3 linked regions of the Sus scrofa genome follow. The protein of the gene in region 3 interacts with the protein of the main gene of each other region in a biochemical or structural test. Links are inferred from orthologs where the notes say so. Each region holds a gene or a part of one and is shown on either strand. Other genes may lie near its edges.

Region 1 (5,210 bases), on a different chromosome or scaffold from region 3:
GTGAGTGCAACCCCAACTACACTGGCAGCGCCTGTGACTGTTCTTTGGATACTACGTCCTGCATGGCTGTAAATGGACAGATCTGCAATGGCCGGGGTGTCTGTGAATGTGGGGTCTGTAAGTGTACAGATCCCAAGTTCCAAGGGCCAACTTGTGAGATGTGTCAGACCTGCCTCGGAGTCTGTGCTGAGCATAAGTAAGTATTTCCTGATTGCTTGAAGTAGGTGATACTGTCCGTTGGCCTAACTGTGTAGTTATTTAAGACTTTTAAATCTTAATAGCTGGTGTTTGTTACATGATATTGAAGTATGCCGTATGAGAGTGGTGGCAGCATTCTTTCAATCTGAATTTACTATGTAGTTGAGTCCATGTGGTAACCTTTGTTAAATTAGCAACACCACTTGCTTATCTTTGGATCAGACTAAGCACAATTGAAGGTTTTGTCTTTGAAAAAAGACCTATTCCATCAGCAACACATTTAAAAAATTACTTTGGTTTTATATTGTATATTTAATATCTGATAGGGCTAGTTTTATTTTAGTACTCATTTCTTTTGGAGGATTTTGGTTTGCGTTATCTATAATTTCACCTGGGAAATTTGCATCTTTAAACTTTTTTTTTAATTACAGTATAGTTGATTTATAATGTGCCAGTTTCTGCTGTACAGCAAAGTGACTCAGTTATACATGCATTCTTTTTTTATATTCTCATCCATCACGGTCTATCCCAGGAGAATGGATATAGTTTCCTGTGCTGTACTCTCGGACTGGTTCTTTTCTTTTTTTTTTTTTTTTTTTTGTCTTAGTCCCGCACTTGGGGCATAAGGAAGTTCCCTGGCTAGGGGTCTCATCAGAGCTGCAGCTGCCAGCCTGCATCACAGCCACAGCACCAGATCCAAGCCATGTCTGTGATCTACACTACAGCTCACGGCGGTACCCGGTCCTTAACCCACCGAGCGGGGCCAGGGAGCCACAACGGGAACTCCGTGGACCTTGTTCTTTATGAAATTAGCATCTTTATGTTTAGTTTTTTACTAGAATTTGTGTGTTTCTTCATTTATTCAAATCTTCTGTCGTAGCTCTTGGTTTAATTTGTTCCTATTTTGAGTTTAGCACAGGAAAAGTAATCTTTAAGCAAATATTTTAAATAAGAAATATAATGATGTATGTTTTAACAGAGAATGTGTTCAGTGCCGAGCCTTCAATAAAGGAGAAAAGAAAGATACATGTGCCCAGGAATGTTCACATTTCAACATTACCAAGGTTGAAAATCGGGACAAATTGCCCCAGCCAGGCCAGGTCGATCCCTTGTCCCATTGTAAGGAGAAGGACGTTGATGATTGCTGGTTCTACTTCACATACTCGGTGAATGGGAACAATGAGGCCACTGTTCATGTTGTAGAGACTCCAGGTAAAAGTCATTTTCATTTATGTCTTTTTACTGCTTAGGGCAATTGGCAGTTTCCCTTGTATCTAGGAAAAGCTTTGAGCTGGACTATTTTAGGTTTATTTGGGACATTTCTAATCTCTTAAAGCTAAAATAGTATTAACTACATAAGAAATAAGGGAAAGAGCAAATTTTAAGTTTTATGATTAGAGAGATTAAAGAGTATATCAGCAGTCCACACAGAGCTCTCAGCACAGGGCCGGACGGCACGGGGCCGACTCAGTAAGAGTCAAGTCACTGTGAGTGATATATGTATATGTATATTTTTTAGGGCTGCACCCGTGGCATATGGAGGTTCCCAAGCTAGGGGTCGAATTGGAGCTGCAGTTGCCAGCCTACCCAACAGCCACAGCAACACTGGATCCCAGCTGTGTCTGTGACCTACACCATAGCTCACAGCAACCCAGGATCCTTAACCCACTGAGAGAGGCCAAGGATTGAACCCTCGTCCTCATGGATGCTAGTTGGGTTCATAACCTGCTGAGCCACAATGGGGAACTCCTATGAATGATATTTAAATATACTTGATTTAGAAGGGGACACTGGGAAACTTATTTTGTCACAGGATATTATAGAGCATGGCTTTGTTCAGCTTCTCAGAAGATGAAACATTTTTTATCTTGTTTTTCCAGATGATTTTTAAATATTCTTTGCAATTTTCTACATTTGTGTTCAGGTTTTTATGGGAATATAAGTTTTAATTTCTCTTGGATAAATATTCAGAATGGATTTTGGGGACATATATTTAACTTTGGAAGAAAGAGCCAAACTTTTAAAGTCTGTATTTTGCATTTTCAGATATTTTGCAAATATTGTCTTCTGGTCTATGCATCCTTCTTTTCATTGTCTTAAGTGTTTTTTTGAATATCTGAAGCTTAAATTTTGACGAATCACATTTGCCAAGTTTTTCTTTTTTAGATTCTGCTTTTTTAACTAAGACCTCTTGGTGTATTTCAAGTTCATAAGGATTTTTTCCTTTGTTTTCTCCTAAAAGTTTTATGGTTTCTGGTTTATTTGAGCTGATCTTGCTTGGCATATGGGGTGATGTTCAGTTTTTTTGTGCATGGATAGCTGGTCATTCTTACACCATTTCTTGAAAAGATTGACCCTTCTCTACTGTGGTTGAAAATCAGATGACCTTGTATGTGTGGGCCTGTTTCTGACTCATGATTCTGTTCCGTTAATCCATGCATCTGTCTTAGAGTCAATACAACACGATTTAAATTACTGTTGCTTCAAATCCAGTTGTGAAATTTGGTAATGTGAGTTATCCAACTTTGTTCTTTTCCAAAAGTGTTTTTAAAAGACTTTTCTAGTTCTCCTCCTCCTTTGTGAATTTTAGAATTAACTTGCTTGACATCTGTACACATCCTGCCAGGATTTTGATTGGGATAGCATTGAGTTTATAGATCACATTGGGGGAGAAGTGACATCTTAACAATATTGAATCTTCTAATATAGAACATGGAATCTCTCCCCATTTATTCAGGCCTTCGATCTCTTTCATCAGTGTTTAGTAATTTTCAGCATGTAAATCTTACACATTTTTTGTTAGAATTTTACATTGGTATTTCATGATTTTGATGCTATTGTAGAAAATACTGTTTTCTCATTTTCAATTTCTGATATAAAGAAATCAGTTTCTGTTATAAAATACATAGGACTTTTCTTTATTGGTCATGTCTCCTGTTGTCTTGTGAACTCATCTGTGAACTTTTAGTGTCTTTTTTATAGATTCTGTGGGATAGTGTCCATTGACTTATCTTGGATTTTAATTCCTTAGTGTTTTTTATGAGACTCTTCAGCTCTCTGTAATGTGGGCTGTACTTCACACATACCAACCCCTTGTGTGCTCATCGTCTGCTGCTTATTTTACAGAGTGTCCCACTGGTCCAGACATTATTCCAATTGTAGCTGGTGTGGTTGCTGGAATTGTTCTCATTGGCCTTGCACTGCTGCTCATTTGGAAGCTTTTAATGATTATTCACGACAGAAGGGAATTTGCCAAATTTGAAAAGGAAAAAATGAATGCCAAATGGGACACGGTGAGTTGGAAGACATCTAAAAAGGAATATAACTCTTCTAAGACATGTTTAGTAATTCTCAAGCTGATTATTAAAGTCCTTTAAATATTTTATTCCCCCAAGACTTTACTCAGAAAATTTGCATTTAGCCAAAACCAGAAAACACCCTAAATAACGTCACATTAAAACAAAACAATGTTTATTCTGGTTACTATGGTTAATATTTTTATTTCTATAATAGTTTTGTCTTTTTTCTTTTTTAGGGCCACACCTGCAACATGTGGAGGTTCCCAGGCTGGGGGTATAATTGGAGCTGTAGCCACCGGCCAGAGCCACAGCAACACCAGATCCGAGCCGCATCTGCAACCTACAACACAGTTCACGGCAACGCCAGATCCTTAACCCACCGAGTGAGGACAGGGATCAAACCCACAACCTCATCGTTCCTAGTTGGATTCTTTTCATCTGCGCCACCACGGGAACTCCTATTTCTGTAATAGTTTTGATCTTAAATCTGAACTTCTGACTTTTCTTATGAAAGATATAATCCTCAATAATGTTATATGTGTAGCAATAGAAGGTTTCTTCTTGCTTTCTTTATTTTTTCAACAAAGAACCTTGAATGGAAAGCAGCCAGACTCAAAGGGCTGCTGTACGATTTATATGAGTGTTGAAGAGGCACAACTATAGGGGCAGAGATGAGATCAGTGGTTTCTAAGGCCTGGAGTTGGGGATCTAGGGATGGTCTCCACTGTGGGTGTGTTTTTACATTTGAGAATTCATGGACCTGTGTAGTTCAGGGTATTTTTACTCTGCAAATTACAACCCGATAACCCTTGCTTTATACAAAATTTAAAAGCTGTAAGTGATGCAAGTTTATGCGAGCATTTAGGGCTTTGAAGTAGGGGTGACAGGGTGGGGCGGCCGAGGTTGGCCCTATGATTTCATCTTTTGGTAGAAGAAAGCAGTGACAGTCTTCAGGGTTTTAAATTGTAAATGAACCTTAGTCATTTGCATTTTCCTACCACTTGCTTGGGTTTTTAAAAAAAGTGATGAATTCCAGGAAGTGTAAAAATAGTAAAATTTCTCTCTTAAAGTGTTTAATCACTATGTATGTCATTTTTTTCTGATGAAATCATTAGAAACTATTTCTTTCACTTTAGCAAGAAAATCCGATTTACAAGAGTCCTATTAATAATTTCAAGAATCCAAACTATGGACGTAAAGCTGGTCTCTAAGTTGCCGTTCGTATTTTCTTTGATTTTCTGTCTTTGCATGTGAAATTTACCCTTTTTACTGCACTGTGTGTCATTTATCACTTTTGCTTTTTTTTAGTCTGGCTTTATATGGCTATACTATGGCTTTTCTTTTTTGTGTTAATTAGAATAAGTGTTTTGAAGGGCTTTGAATTAAGCTTGCTTTATGGTGTAGAAGCAGCAGCTTTGTTGTAGTGAAAAGAGAATGCGCTTTGTGATCAGACCTGGGTGGAGTCCCAGCTCCTACACTTAGTAAGTAGGATGGCGCTGAGTCCCTTCACTTGGCAGAGCCTTAACAGGGGTCAGTAATGATGTGCAGTGTGGTTGTTTTTGGCTAATGATAAATGAGTGGCAGCCTGTCAGTTATAATCCTCACTGCAGTCCTTTGCCTTGGGTGGTGGTGTTATTCTTATATAACAAATCATTATATGTAAGTTTTAGGGTGAAAAAGTGAAAAGTGAATGTGAAATCCCAGCTTTAAAAT
Region 2 (5,210 bases), on a different chromosome or scaffold from region 3:
TCACCGAGTTGGAAGCAAGGAAGTGACTTGTCCCCTTACCCCTCCATGTCCCCCATCCCCATCCTGTCACCTCTCCAGGCCTCCCAGGACAGGAAAGCCTAATTCCTAGAAAAGGAAGGAGGGAGGGTTGCCTTTGGGGAGAGCCACTGCCAGCTTGTTCCAGAATGTTTCAGGGACTGATCTGGTGTGGAAAATGCTGCAGCTGTGCCTGTGCCCTGCCAGGGCTGCCTCCAACAGCTGTGAGACCCTGGGCAAATCATGGCCCCTCTCTGAGCCTCGCCACCCTGGGCAAATCATGGCTCCTCTCTGAGCCTCGCCTTTCCCCCAGGCCCCATGTGAATGGAAACACCTGCAGGCCCTCAGGAGGCACGGAGCCCAGGCAGCCCACCGCCCTCCAGGGCAGGAACAGATGCATGAGCCAAGCTTCTGGTAGTGGCGGCTGGGAGTGTAAGGGTAGGACAGGGTCATTCAGAGAAAGAAGGAGTTCAACCAGGGAAGGCTTCCCAGAGGAGGTGGCATCTGAGCTGGATTAATATGACCGGGAAGCTGCCACAGCCCTGTGAAAGTGGCTGAATCCAGGGCCAAGAGAATGAAGGCAGTCTGGATGGAAAATTCAGGGAGATGCCAGGCATATCTGTCCTTGGGATTGGGAGGAAATCGGGACCACCTCTGTGTTGGGGGTGGGGGTGGGTGTCTTCCTCTTTATGAGTTTCCTGGTCCGTCCTGCCCAGCATACCCAGCCGTCATTGACCAGCGCACCCTGCAGGAGGAAACGGCCCTTTACCTAGCGACATGCAGAGGACACCTGGACTGCCTCCAATCCCTGCTCCAGGCTGGGGCCGAGCCTGACATCTCCAACAAGTCCCGTGAGACACCGCTCTACAAAGGTGAGCCCGTGAGGGTGGGCTTCCCCAGGAAGGGTCCAGAAGCTAGCTGGGCAATCAGGAGAATTGCTTGCAAAGTGTATAACACCCCGCCCCGCCCCGGGGAACCTAATGTGACCGGGCAGCCTCGTTCAGATGTATAACTTATATATCTGAAACATTCATTCATGCACGGATACACTCAACATGTCCCAAGTCCTCCCATGGGCCAGGCATGCTGAGGACTCAGAGATGCAAAGATGTGGCCTGTGCCCATGTGCTCTTCCAGCCCGGTGGGCATCAATTCACAGCCAATGTAACAGTCAACTACTGGCATTGAGAAACTTGGCACCAGATACCTGGGAGAATGGGGGAGGGCCCCCGCAGGAGGGGGTCCCAAAGCTGAGCCTGAACAGGAGGAATTTACCCCCTGGACAAGCAGGGGGAACAGCATAGGCAAAGGCAAAGAGGCTTGAAAGGGAAAGTGTCCCTCTAGAATATTTGACAAAAGAAAAAACTCCTGGTTTACTCAAAACATCATCCAAGGACATTCACTGGCTGCCCTAGCAATGCCCAGAGTCAAAATCTGAATAATCATAACAGCTGGCATTTATTGTGTGCTTACTGTGTGTCAGGCTCTGTCCTTTCCTCTAACCCTCCCGTCCATCCACATATGAGGCAGGCCCTGCTGGTAGCCCCATTTTACAGATAAGGCCCCCAGGCATCCAGGAAGACACAGTCGGCAAGGGGCAGACCTAGTATCGAAACTCCAGGAGTCGGATGCCAGCATGGCACTATGACCCACCACGCCATCAAGCGTCATTCATGCCTACATGCTTAAGCAGTCATGGGTCTTGTGACAATGAGAGGGTCTTCGCACATTGAAAAACCACAGAAATTCGCAAACTCCCAGGTGTCTGGTATCCAGCACCTGGAACATTCCATAGGCAGCAGGAACCAGGTCCATGGCAGACCCGCAGTGGAAGTGTCTTCCCTAGAACTCGTGTCCACTGGGCACCAGAGCCATCTCCTGGAGCCTCAGCTGTCCCAGAGGGAGCTCCCAGGATGCTGGGTGACTCGCAGGCCCGGGCCCTGGTCTTGCACGAGCTCCACCCTGTGCCAAGCTCCACGCTAGAGCCTTGGTACACTGCCTCACCCCGCACCCTACAGCATCCTCGTGGGATGGTTTTGTTATCTGTGCTTTATGGGCGAGGAAAGCAGGGCTCAGAGAGGGGGGGACCTTCGCCTGGGGTCCTGTTTGAAACATTGCACAGGTGGAGTTCCCACTGTGGCACAGAGGAAACAAATCCGACTAGTATCCACGAGGATGCAGGTTCGATCTCTGGCCTCGCTCAGTGGGTCAGGGTTCTGGCATTGCCATGAGCTGTGGTGTAGGTTGCAGATGTGGCTTGGACCTGGTGTTGCTGTGACTGTGGTGTAGGCCAGCAGCTGCAGCCTGGCATGCAAACCCTAGCCCAGGAACTTCCATATGCCGCAGGTGCAGCCTTAAAAAGCACACACACACACACACACACACACACACACACAACAAAAGGAAAAATACCACTACACAGGCGTTTCCCCCCCACTTTTCGCTACCCCCTGACTCAGTGGGAGAAGCTTCTAGAAGTGGTTAATTTGAACAAGTGCTCCTCCCTGATAATAGTTCTGCAAGCATTAAGGCTGCAGTAGGGTCTAGAGAGAGCTAGAGCTTACAAGGGAGCTTTGAGGGAGTTCCTGTCATGGCTCAGCAGTAACAAACCCAACTAGTAACTATAAGGTTGTGGGTTCCATCCCTGGCCTCGCTCAGTGGGTTAAGGATCCGGCATTGCCGTGAACTGTGGTGTAGGTCAAAGACGTGGCTTGATCCTGTGTTGCTGCGGCTGTGGTATAGGCCAACAACTGCAGCTCTGATTCGACCCCTAGCCATGGAACTTTTGTACGCTGCAGGTGCGGCCCTAAAAATAAAAAAAATTTTTTTAATTCAAAAAAGGAGGTTTGAGCAGGTTGAGAAAGACTTGAGCTATACTCAGAAGATAGAAACAGAGTTCGTGGGCAGGTTAACGAAGAACATGAGGCGGTTGGCTCAGTGGACGTCCGGCGTGAGCTGGGCGTAGTTGCAGACGCGCTCGATCCGCGTTGCTGTGCTCTGGAGAGCCGGTGTTATAGCTCGATCAACCCTAGCCTGGAACTCATATGCCGCTGAGTGCCAAAAATAGCAACAACAACAAAAAAAAAAAAAAAAAAATTTTAGCCCAAACTAAGTGAGTAGCCTTTGAGGAAGTGTTCTGAGCAGGAATTTGACATTCTCCTCCTCTTCTGTCCTTGGCGACACGGAGAACTGAAGCAGGTAACACTGGAAAGGGAGGCCAGTTGGGGCATTCTAGAACCTTCCAGAGACAGGAACTCCAGACCTGACTACGTGGATTTGAATCCTAGTTCTGCCACTTACTGTCTGTGTGACTTTGGACAGGTCACTTAACTTCTCTGTGCCTCACTTTCCTCATCTGTAAAAGGGGATAACACTATATCCTTTAAGGGTGGTTGGGAGAACTAAATTAGTTCATCATGTAAGTGCTTTGAATAGCGTGTCCAGCACATGACCAGTGTTGTATGCACATCAGCAAATATTACTATTACTTTTAGTTGTGTATCCTAGGTTTAAGGCAGGGACCAGAACTTTGTACAGACCGGGGGATATTTGTTGAGTGAATGGCTGATAATGGAACAGGTGAATGAAGTCTTGGGCGGCCGGGTCCTGCCAGGAGCCCTGCTGACTGTCTTGCTTCTCCCTGGGCACAGCCTGTGAGCGCAAAAACGTGGAGGCCGTGAGGATTCTGGTGCAGTACAACGCGGACACCAACCACCGCTGTAACCGAGGCTGGACAGCTCTGCACGAGTCTGTTGCTCGCAATGACCTGGAGGTCATGGAGATCCTGGTGAGCGGAGGTGCCAAGGTGGAATCCAAGAATGCCTATGGCATCACCCCCTTGTTCGTGGCTGCCCAGAGTGGGCAGCTGGAGGCACTGAGGTTCCTGGCCAAACACGGTGAGTGCCAAGGGTCCCTGGGTCGTGGAGTTGCCAAGGGGCATAGCCGGGAAGGACCCCAGAGATCAAGTCTAAGGAAAAGCAGGTTTTGGTGTCATCTTATAGCCAGCCTCTGATTGAGTGATATATGCATATATCTTCTGGGAAGACTGTGTTGAGAAGGATTCTGAGGCTGTGTTTAGGCTCAGCCAGAATTGTGTTGAGATCCACTAGTGATGCCTGCCATGAGGCACAGACTTGGAGGGGAGCGGCACACGTGCTGCATCGTAGCCTCGCTAAGCTAGCCCAACATCCTTATTTTACAAATGAGGAATCGGAGGCCCAGCAAGAGGAAGTAACTTATCTCTCTGCAGTCACGTACCGAATTAGCAGTACGACCAGCCCAGACTCTTAATCTCCAGACACCCCATCTTCTCTTTGCATCATGTCACATTTTAGGGCCAGAAGGAAATTGAGACAACGTTTAGGTCACCTCCTCCTTTATTTTTTATTTTTTTGCTTTTTAAGGTCGTACCCGTGGCATATGGAAGTTCCCAGGCTAGGGGTCAAATCAGAGCTACAGCTATCAGCCTACACCACAGCCAGACAATGTGGGATCTGAGCCATGTCTGCGACCTACCCCACAGCTCATGGCGTGCCAGATCCTTAACCCACTGAGCAAGGCCAGGGATCGAACCTGCATCGTCATGGATGCTAGTCGAGTTTGTTAACCGCTGAGCCATGAAGGGAATTCCTTCAGCTCCTCATTTTATAGGTGATGAACCCAAGGACCAGAATGGGAAAGGAATCTGTCCAAGGTCACACAGTAAATTCACAGCAGACCTGGGATTTGAACCCTGGTCTTTGCACCTTTGCCTCAGAAAACTCTCAGTTCACTTAATGGGACAACACAAAATAATGTTGCCTGAGTTATCATGTCCCAGTAAGGGAAGACCCTGCGACCATGGCCGGCGTTCTTTTGGTTATAAAGCAGTAAATTCGATCTCCCCCAAGAGTACTTTTGGTTTCTTTTCTCCCTCTATGGGAAGTGACCCTTCCACTCTAGCAACAGAGAATCCAGAGGTAAGCCAGACCCTGGGGCTGAGCTGGAATAATCGGTTGAGGACCCACTGTGTGCCAGGCACTGCGCTAAGCATGAACAGAATAGGCCAGTGGTTTTCTCCACAGCCCTACGAGGTACAGAGTGTTCTCATGCCATTTCTTAGATGAGGAGACTGACGGTCAGAGAGGTTAATTGACTGCTCACAGTCAGAGCCTGGATTCTGACTCTGCATTGAACATCAGACCGCACACTCTTCG
Region 3 (5,210 bases):
CAGCGGGGAGCTGAAGGTCGTCGTGAAGGGTCCCAGTAAGTTGGCCTGCAGCCGGGGTGGGTGCTGCCGGCCTCGGGCGGCGGCTGGGCGGCAGCCTGAGGCCCTCCCTTGTCCCTGGCAGAGGGCGAAGAGCGCGTGAAACAGAAGGACCTGGGGGATGGCGTCTACGGCTTCGAGTATTACCCCACGGTCCCCGGCACCTACACCGTCACCATCACGTGGGGTGGCCAGAACATCGGGCGCAGGTGAGGCCTGGGCCGGGCGCCCCTCCCCCCTGCCGGGCTCGCCGTGGGCGCTGGGCACTCCCCTGCGTGGCTCTCTCCTTGCAGCCCCTTTGAGGTGAAGGTGGGCACCGAGTGTGGCAATCAGAAGGTGCGGGCCTGGGGCCCCGGGCTGGAGGGTGGCGTCGTTGGCAAGTCGGCCGACTTCGTGGTGGAGGCCATCGGGGACGATGTCGGCACCCTGGGTGAGTTGGCAGCTGGGGGCAGAGCGTGGCGAGGGCCGCCCCGCCGAGGCTCCAGGGTGCTGACGGAGCTGGCGGCTGTCGGCAGGCTTCTCGGTGGAGGGCCCGTCGCAGGCCAAGATCGAGTGTGACGACAAGGGCGACGGCTCCTGCGACGTGCGCTACTGGCCGCAGGAGGCCGGCGAGTACGCGGTGCACGTGCTGTGCAACAGCGAGGACATCCGCCTCAGCCCCTTCATGGCCGACATCCGCGAGGCGCCCCCCGACTTCCATCCCGACAGGGTAGGGGGTGTGTGCCGCCGGCCGGGAGGCTAGGCTGGTGCCCCTGATGGCTGGTAGGGCTCCTGCCGCGCCGTCTCTGGCATTGACACCTGGCCCCTGAGCCTTGCGTGGTCTCTTGTCAGGTGAAGGCACGCGGGCCCGGCTTGGAGAAGACGGGCGTGGCCGTCAACAAGCCCGCCGAGTTCACGGTGGACGCCAAGCACGGCGGGAAGGCTCCTCTCAGGGTCCAAGTCCAGGTGGGGGGCCCGCCCACCCGCGGAGGGGGCCCAGGCGGGCAGGGGCCTGGACCCAGGCACTGACCAGGAGGCCCCCTGCTCCGGCCCACTTTGCAGGACAATGAGGGCTGCCCCGTGGAGGCCTCGGTCAAGGACAACGGCAACGGCACTTACAGCTGCTCCTACGTGCCCCGGAAGCCAGTGAAGCACACGGCCATGGTGTCCTGGGGAGGCGTCAGCATCCCCAACAGCCCCTTCCGGGTGAGCCTGCCCCCCCGCAGGCCTGACAGGCCTTTAGCCCCCTTCCCTGGGGCGCCAGATTCGTTTTTCCACAGCTCTAGCTGCTAAAACTCGAACAGCACGCAGCTCACCCTTTCGTGTGTGCAGTTGGAGGGGGTTGAGTCAGGTCAGAGCTGTGCAGTCATCAGCACAACCGAGCGAGCAAAGCTTGGGACGTTTGCACCAGCCCCCAGAGGAGCTCCTCTCCCCTCAGGGGCCCTGCCCGCAGCCCTCGGCAGCCCCCGCTCTGCTCTGCGGCCCGGCGGGCTGACCTCTTGTGGACATGAACTGGAGGTGGACTCGTCCGCCCTGTGGTCTTTGGGGTCTGGCCACTTTCACCCAGCAGTGCGTTTTATCACGGCTTGTCCACACCGCGGCCCGGGCCAGTGCTCCCCGCCGTTTCACAGCTGGACGTTCCGTTATTTATCCAGTCGTCTGTTGATGGACCTTTGGGGGTTTTTGTACCTTTCGGCTGTCGCGTACACTGCCGCTCTGAACATTCCAGTGCAGAGATCTCATCTCCCTGGGTGGACAGATACCGGCCTAGGCGTGGAATCGCAGCGCCGTCCGGTCACTTTGTGGTTCATTGTTTGAGGAACCGCCAGAGGACTTCCCGGTGGGCCGACCCCCCCCCCGCCCCGCCTCTCCTCCAGGCCGGTCACGCCCCGCACTCGCCCCTGTGCCCCGCAGGTGAACGTGGGAGCTGGCAGCCATCCAAACAAGGTCAAGGTGTACGGCCCGGGCGTGGCCAAGACGGGGCTCAAGGCTCACGAGCCCACATACTTCACTGTGGACTGCACAGAGGCCGGCCAGGGTAAGTCGCTGCCTCGAGAGTAGGCGGGCGAGGCGGCGAGGCGTCCGCATGGGGTCCCAGCCTCCATGCCTTCTGCCACCACAGGTGACGTCAGCATCGGCATCAAGTGTGCCCCTGGCGTGGTGGGCCCCACCGAGGCTGACATCGACTTCGACATCATCCGCAACGACAATGACACCTTCACAGTCAAGTACACGCCGCGGGGTGCTGGCAGCTACACCATCATGGTCCTCTTTGCTGACCAGGTGGGTGCTACTGCTCCCGGCCCCTCACGCTGCTGGGTATTGGCTGCTGCTCTCTTCTCAGCCCTTCTCTTCCCGCCCTCTGCAGGCCACGCCCACCAGCCCCATCCGGGTCAAGGTGGAGCCCTCCCACGATGCCAGCAAAGTGAAGGCCGAGGGCCCTGGCCTCAGTCGCACGGGTGAGCACAGGTCCCCTGTGGGGGTCGGGGGAGGGCATGGGGCCACGTGACCCTACAGCATCGCCGTGTCTCATCAGGTGTCGAGCTCGGCAAACCCACCCACTTCACGGTCAACGCCAAAGCTGCCGGCAAAGGCAAACTGGATGTCCAGTTTTCGGGGCCGGCGAAGGGGGACGCGGTGCGCGACGTGGATGTCATCGACCACCACGACAACACTTACACCGTCAAGTACACGCCTTTGCAGCAGGTAGCTGCCTGGCCCCCGCGCGTGGGGGCTTCCCACCCACTCGCGTTTCCCCCAGGGGAGAGAGTGGCCCCAGAACCGCAGGGGGCAGTGGAGCATCCACCACCCCTACCCCCAACGCCATGCCCAAGGTGGGAAGCAGCGGGCCAGGGACACCAAGGTCATGACCCGTGACCCTGCCCTTCTGTACTCCTCCCAGGGCCCAGTGGGCATCAATGTCACTTATGGCGGGGACCCTATCCCCAAGAGCCCCTTTTCAGTGGGGGTGTCTCCAAGCCTGGACCTGAGCAAGATCAAGGTGTCCGGCCTGGGAGAGAGTAAGTAGCTGGCCGGGGCCTCGTCACCGTCCCCGAGAGTGCCGCAGGGCTGCCTGGGCCGCTGTCACAGTTCTCGCCTTCCTTTCCTCATCTCCACAGAGGTGGATGTTGGCAAAGACCAGGAGTTCACGGTCAAGTCGAAGGGTGCAGGCGGCCAGGGCAAAGTGGTGTCCAAGATTGTGGGCCCTTCAGGGGCTGTGGTGCCCTGCAAGGTGGAGCCGGGCCTGGGGGCTGACAACAGCGTGGTGCGCTTTGTGCCCCGCGAGGAGGGGCCCTACGAGGTCGAGGTGACCTATGACGGCGTGCCTGTGCCCGGCAGCCCCTTTCCCCTGGAAGCCGTGCCCCCCACCAAGCCGAGCAAGGTAACTGGGGTGTGGGGCGGCCCCCCTTCTCCAGACTCGCCCTCACCCTTTCTCATCTTTGCGCCCTGTCTGCTGGGGGAGGGAGGCCCGCAGCGGCGGCAGATGGCAGGTCGGGCTGAGGGCTTCCGGGCCGGGGCTGGGGCCAGGGAGGTAGCGTGGCTTCGGCGCCTGACCTGCCCCTCCGCCTGCAGGTGAAGGCCTTCGGGCCAGGGCTGCAAGGGGGCAGCGCAGGCTCCCCTGCCCGCTTCACCATCGACACCAAGGGTGCCGGCGTGGGCGGCCTGGGCCTGACGGTCGAGGGCCCCTGCGAGGCCCAGCTCGAGTGCCTGGACAACGGGGACGGCACGTGCTCTGTGTCCTACGTGCCCACCGAGCCCGGGGACTACAACATCAACATCCTCTTCGCTGACACTCACATCCCCGGCTCCCCGTTCAAGGCCCACGTGGTTCCCTGCTTTGATGCATCCAAGGTCAAGTGCTCAGGCCCCGGGCTGGAGAGGGCCACGGCCGGCGAGGCAGGCCAGTTCCACGTGGACTGCTCGAGCGCAGGCAGCGCCGAGCTGACCATCGAGATCCGCTCCGAGGCGGGGCTGCCCGCCGAGGTGCACATCCAGGATCACGGCGACGGCACGCACACCATCACCTACATCCCGCTTTGCCCCGGGGCCTACACGGTCACCATCAAGTACGGTGGCCAACCTGTGCCCAACTTCCCCAGCAAGCTGCAGGTGGAGCCCGCGGTGGACACCTCGGGCGTCCAGTGCTATGGGCCCGGGGTCGAGGGCCAAGGTGAGAGGCGCACGGCGGGACCTGGGCATGGGGGCGGCCAGGGCGCTGGAGCCCACGCCTCCTCTCCACACCTCCCTTGCAGGCGTCTTCCGAGAAGCCACCACGGAGTTCAGCGTGGATGCCCGGGCCCTGACGCAGACCGGAGGGCCGCACGTCAAGGCCCGCGTGGCCAACCCCTCTGGCAACCTGACCGAGACCTACGTGCAGGACCGCGGCGACGGCACCTACAAAGTGGAGTACACGCCCTACGAGGAGGGTGCGTGCGTGCGTGCGTGCGAGCGGGGTGGCCCGGGGGCCGGGGAGCCCGGGCTCTTCCTGACACCGCCTCTGCCCTCCCGCAGGGCTGCACTCCGTGGACGTGACCTACGACGGCAGCCCCGTGCCCAGCAGCCCCTTCCAGGTACCCGTGACGGAGGGCTGTGACCCGACCCGAGTGCGCGTGCACGGGCCGGGCCTGCAGAGCGGCACCACCAACAAGCCCAACAAGTTCACCGTGGAGACCAGGTGAGCGAGAGCCCCGGAGGGCAGGGGCTGGGGCGGCCCTGGCCCCCCAGGTTGTGACGAGCTGTCTGCTTGGACAGGGGAGCTGGCACGGGGGGCCTGGGCCTGGCCGTGGAGGGCCCCTCGGAGGCCAAGATGTCCTGCATGGACAATAAGGACGGCAGCTGCTCGGTCGAGTACATCCCCTACGAGGCCGGCACCTACAGTCTCAACGTCACCTATGGCGGCCACCAAGTCCCAGGTGAGGACGCGGGTCGGCTGGGCCTGGGCGGGCACCACCTGCTCGCCCTGCGCTCTGTCTCACACGGCTGCTGCCACCCCTCTTGCCCCCCCGCCAGGCAGTCCTTTCAAGGTCCCTGTGCATGATGTGACAGATGCGTCCAAGGTCAAGTGCTCGGGGCCGGGCCTGAGCCCTGGCATGGTCCGCGCCAACCTCCCTCAGTCCTTCCAGGTGGACACGAGCAAGGCTGGCGTGGCCCCCCTGCAGGTCAAAGTGCAGGGGCCCAAAGGTGAGCCTCCCCGC

What was found.
Region 1: the proteins of FLNA (region 3) and ITGB1 form a complex in vitro, tested with the Homo sapiens proteins (3 studies listed by BioGRID and IntAct). The link is inferred for Sus scrofa from reciprocal best matches to the Homo sapiens genes FLNA and ITGB1.
Region 2: the proteins of FLNA (region 3) and ASB2 form a complex in vitro, tested with the Homo sapiens proteins (3 studies listed by BioGRID, with this or other methods). The link is inferred for Sus scrofa from reciprocal best matches to the Homo sapiens genes FLNA and ASB2.

Annotation. Positions count from the first base shown.
Region 1 is NC_010452.4:56,084,530-56,089,739, reverse strand, and holds part of ITGB1 (integrin beta-1), read left to right. Parts: coding exon 1-196; intron 197-1,177; coding exon 1,178-1,410; intron 1,411-3,324; coding exon 3,325-3,575; 3' UTR 3,576-4,633; coding exon of another isoform or gene 4,634-4,708; 3' UTR 4,709-5,210.
Region 2 is NC_010449.5:115,226,882-115,232,091, reverse strand, and holds part of ASB2 (ankyrin repeat and SOCS box protein 2), read left to right. Parts: intron 1-731; coding exon 732-887; intron 888-3,665; coding exon 3,666-3,911; intron 3,912-5,210. UniProt on the Homo sapiens protein: Substrate-recognition component of a SCF-like ECS (Elongin-Cullin-SOCS-box protein) E3 ubiquitin-protein ligase complex which mediates the ubiquitination and subsequent proteasomal degradation of target proteins.
Region 3 is NC_010461.5:124,899,314-124,904,523, forward strand, and holds part of FLNA (filamin-A), read left to right. Parts: coding exon 1-35; intron 36-121; coding exon 122-245; intron 246-329; coding exon 330-466; intron 467-551; coding exon 552-745; intron 746-867; coding exon 868-981; intron 982-1,077; coding exon 1,078-1,221; intron 1,222-1,929; coding exon 1,930-2,053; intron 2,054-2,137; coding exon 2,138-2,298; intron 2,299-2,383; coding exon 2,384-2,474; intron 2,475-2,551; coding exon 2,552-2,721; intron 2,722-2,917; coding exon 2,918-3,035; intron 3,036-3,134; coding exon 3,135-3,397; intron 3,398-3,588; coding exon 3,589-4,186; intron 4,187-4,268; coding exon 4,269-4,442; intron 4,443-4,527; coding exon 4,528-4,690; intron 4,691-4,767; coding exon 4,768-4,928; intron 4,929-5,025; coding exon 5,026-5,196; intron 5,197-5,210. UniProt on the Homo sapiens protein: Promotes orthogonal branching of actin filaments and links actin filaments to membrane glycoproteins. Anchors various transmembrane proteins to the actin cytoskeleton and serves as a scaffold for a wide range of cytoplasmic signaling proteins.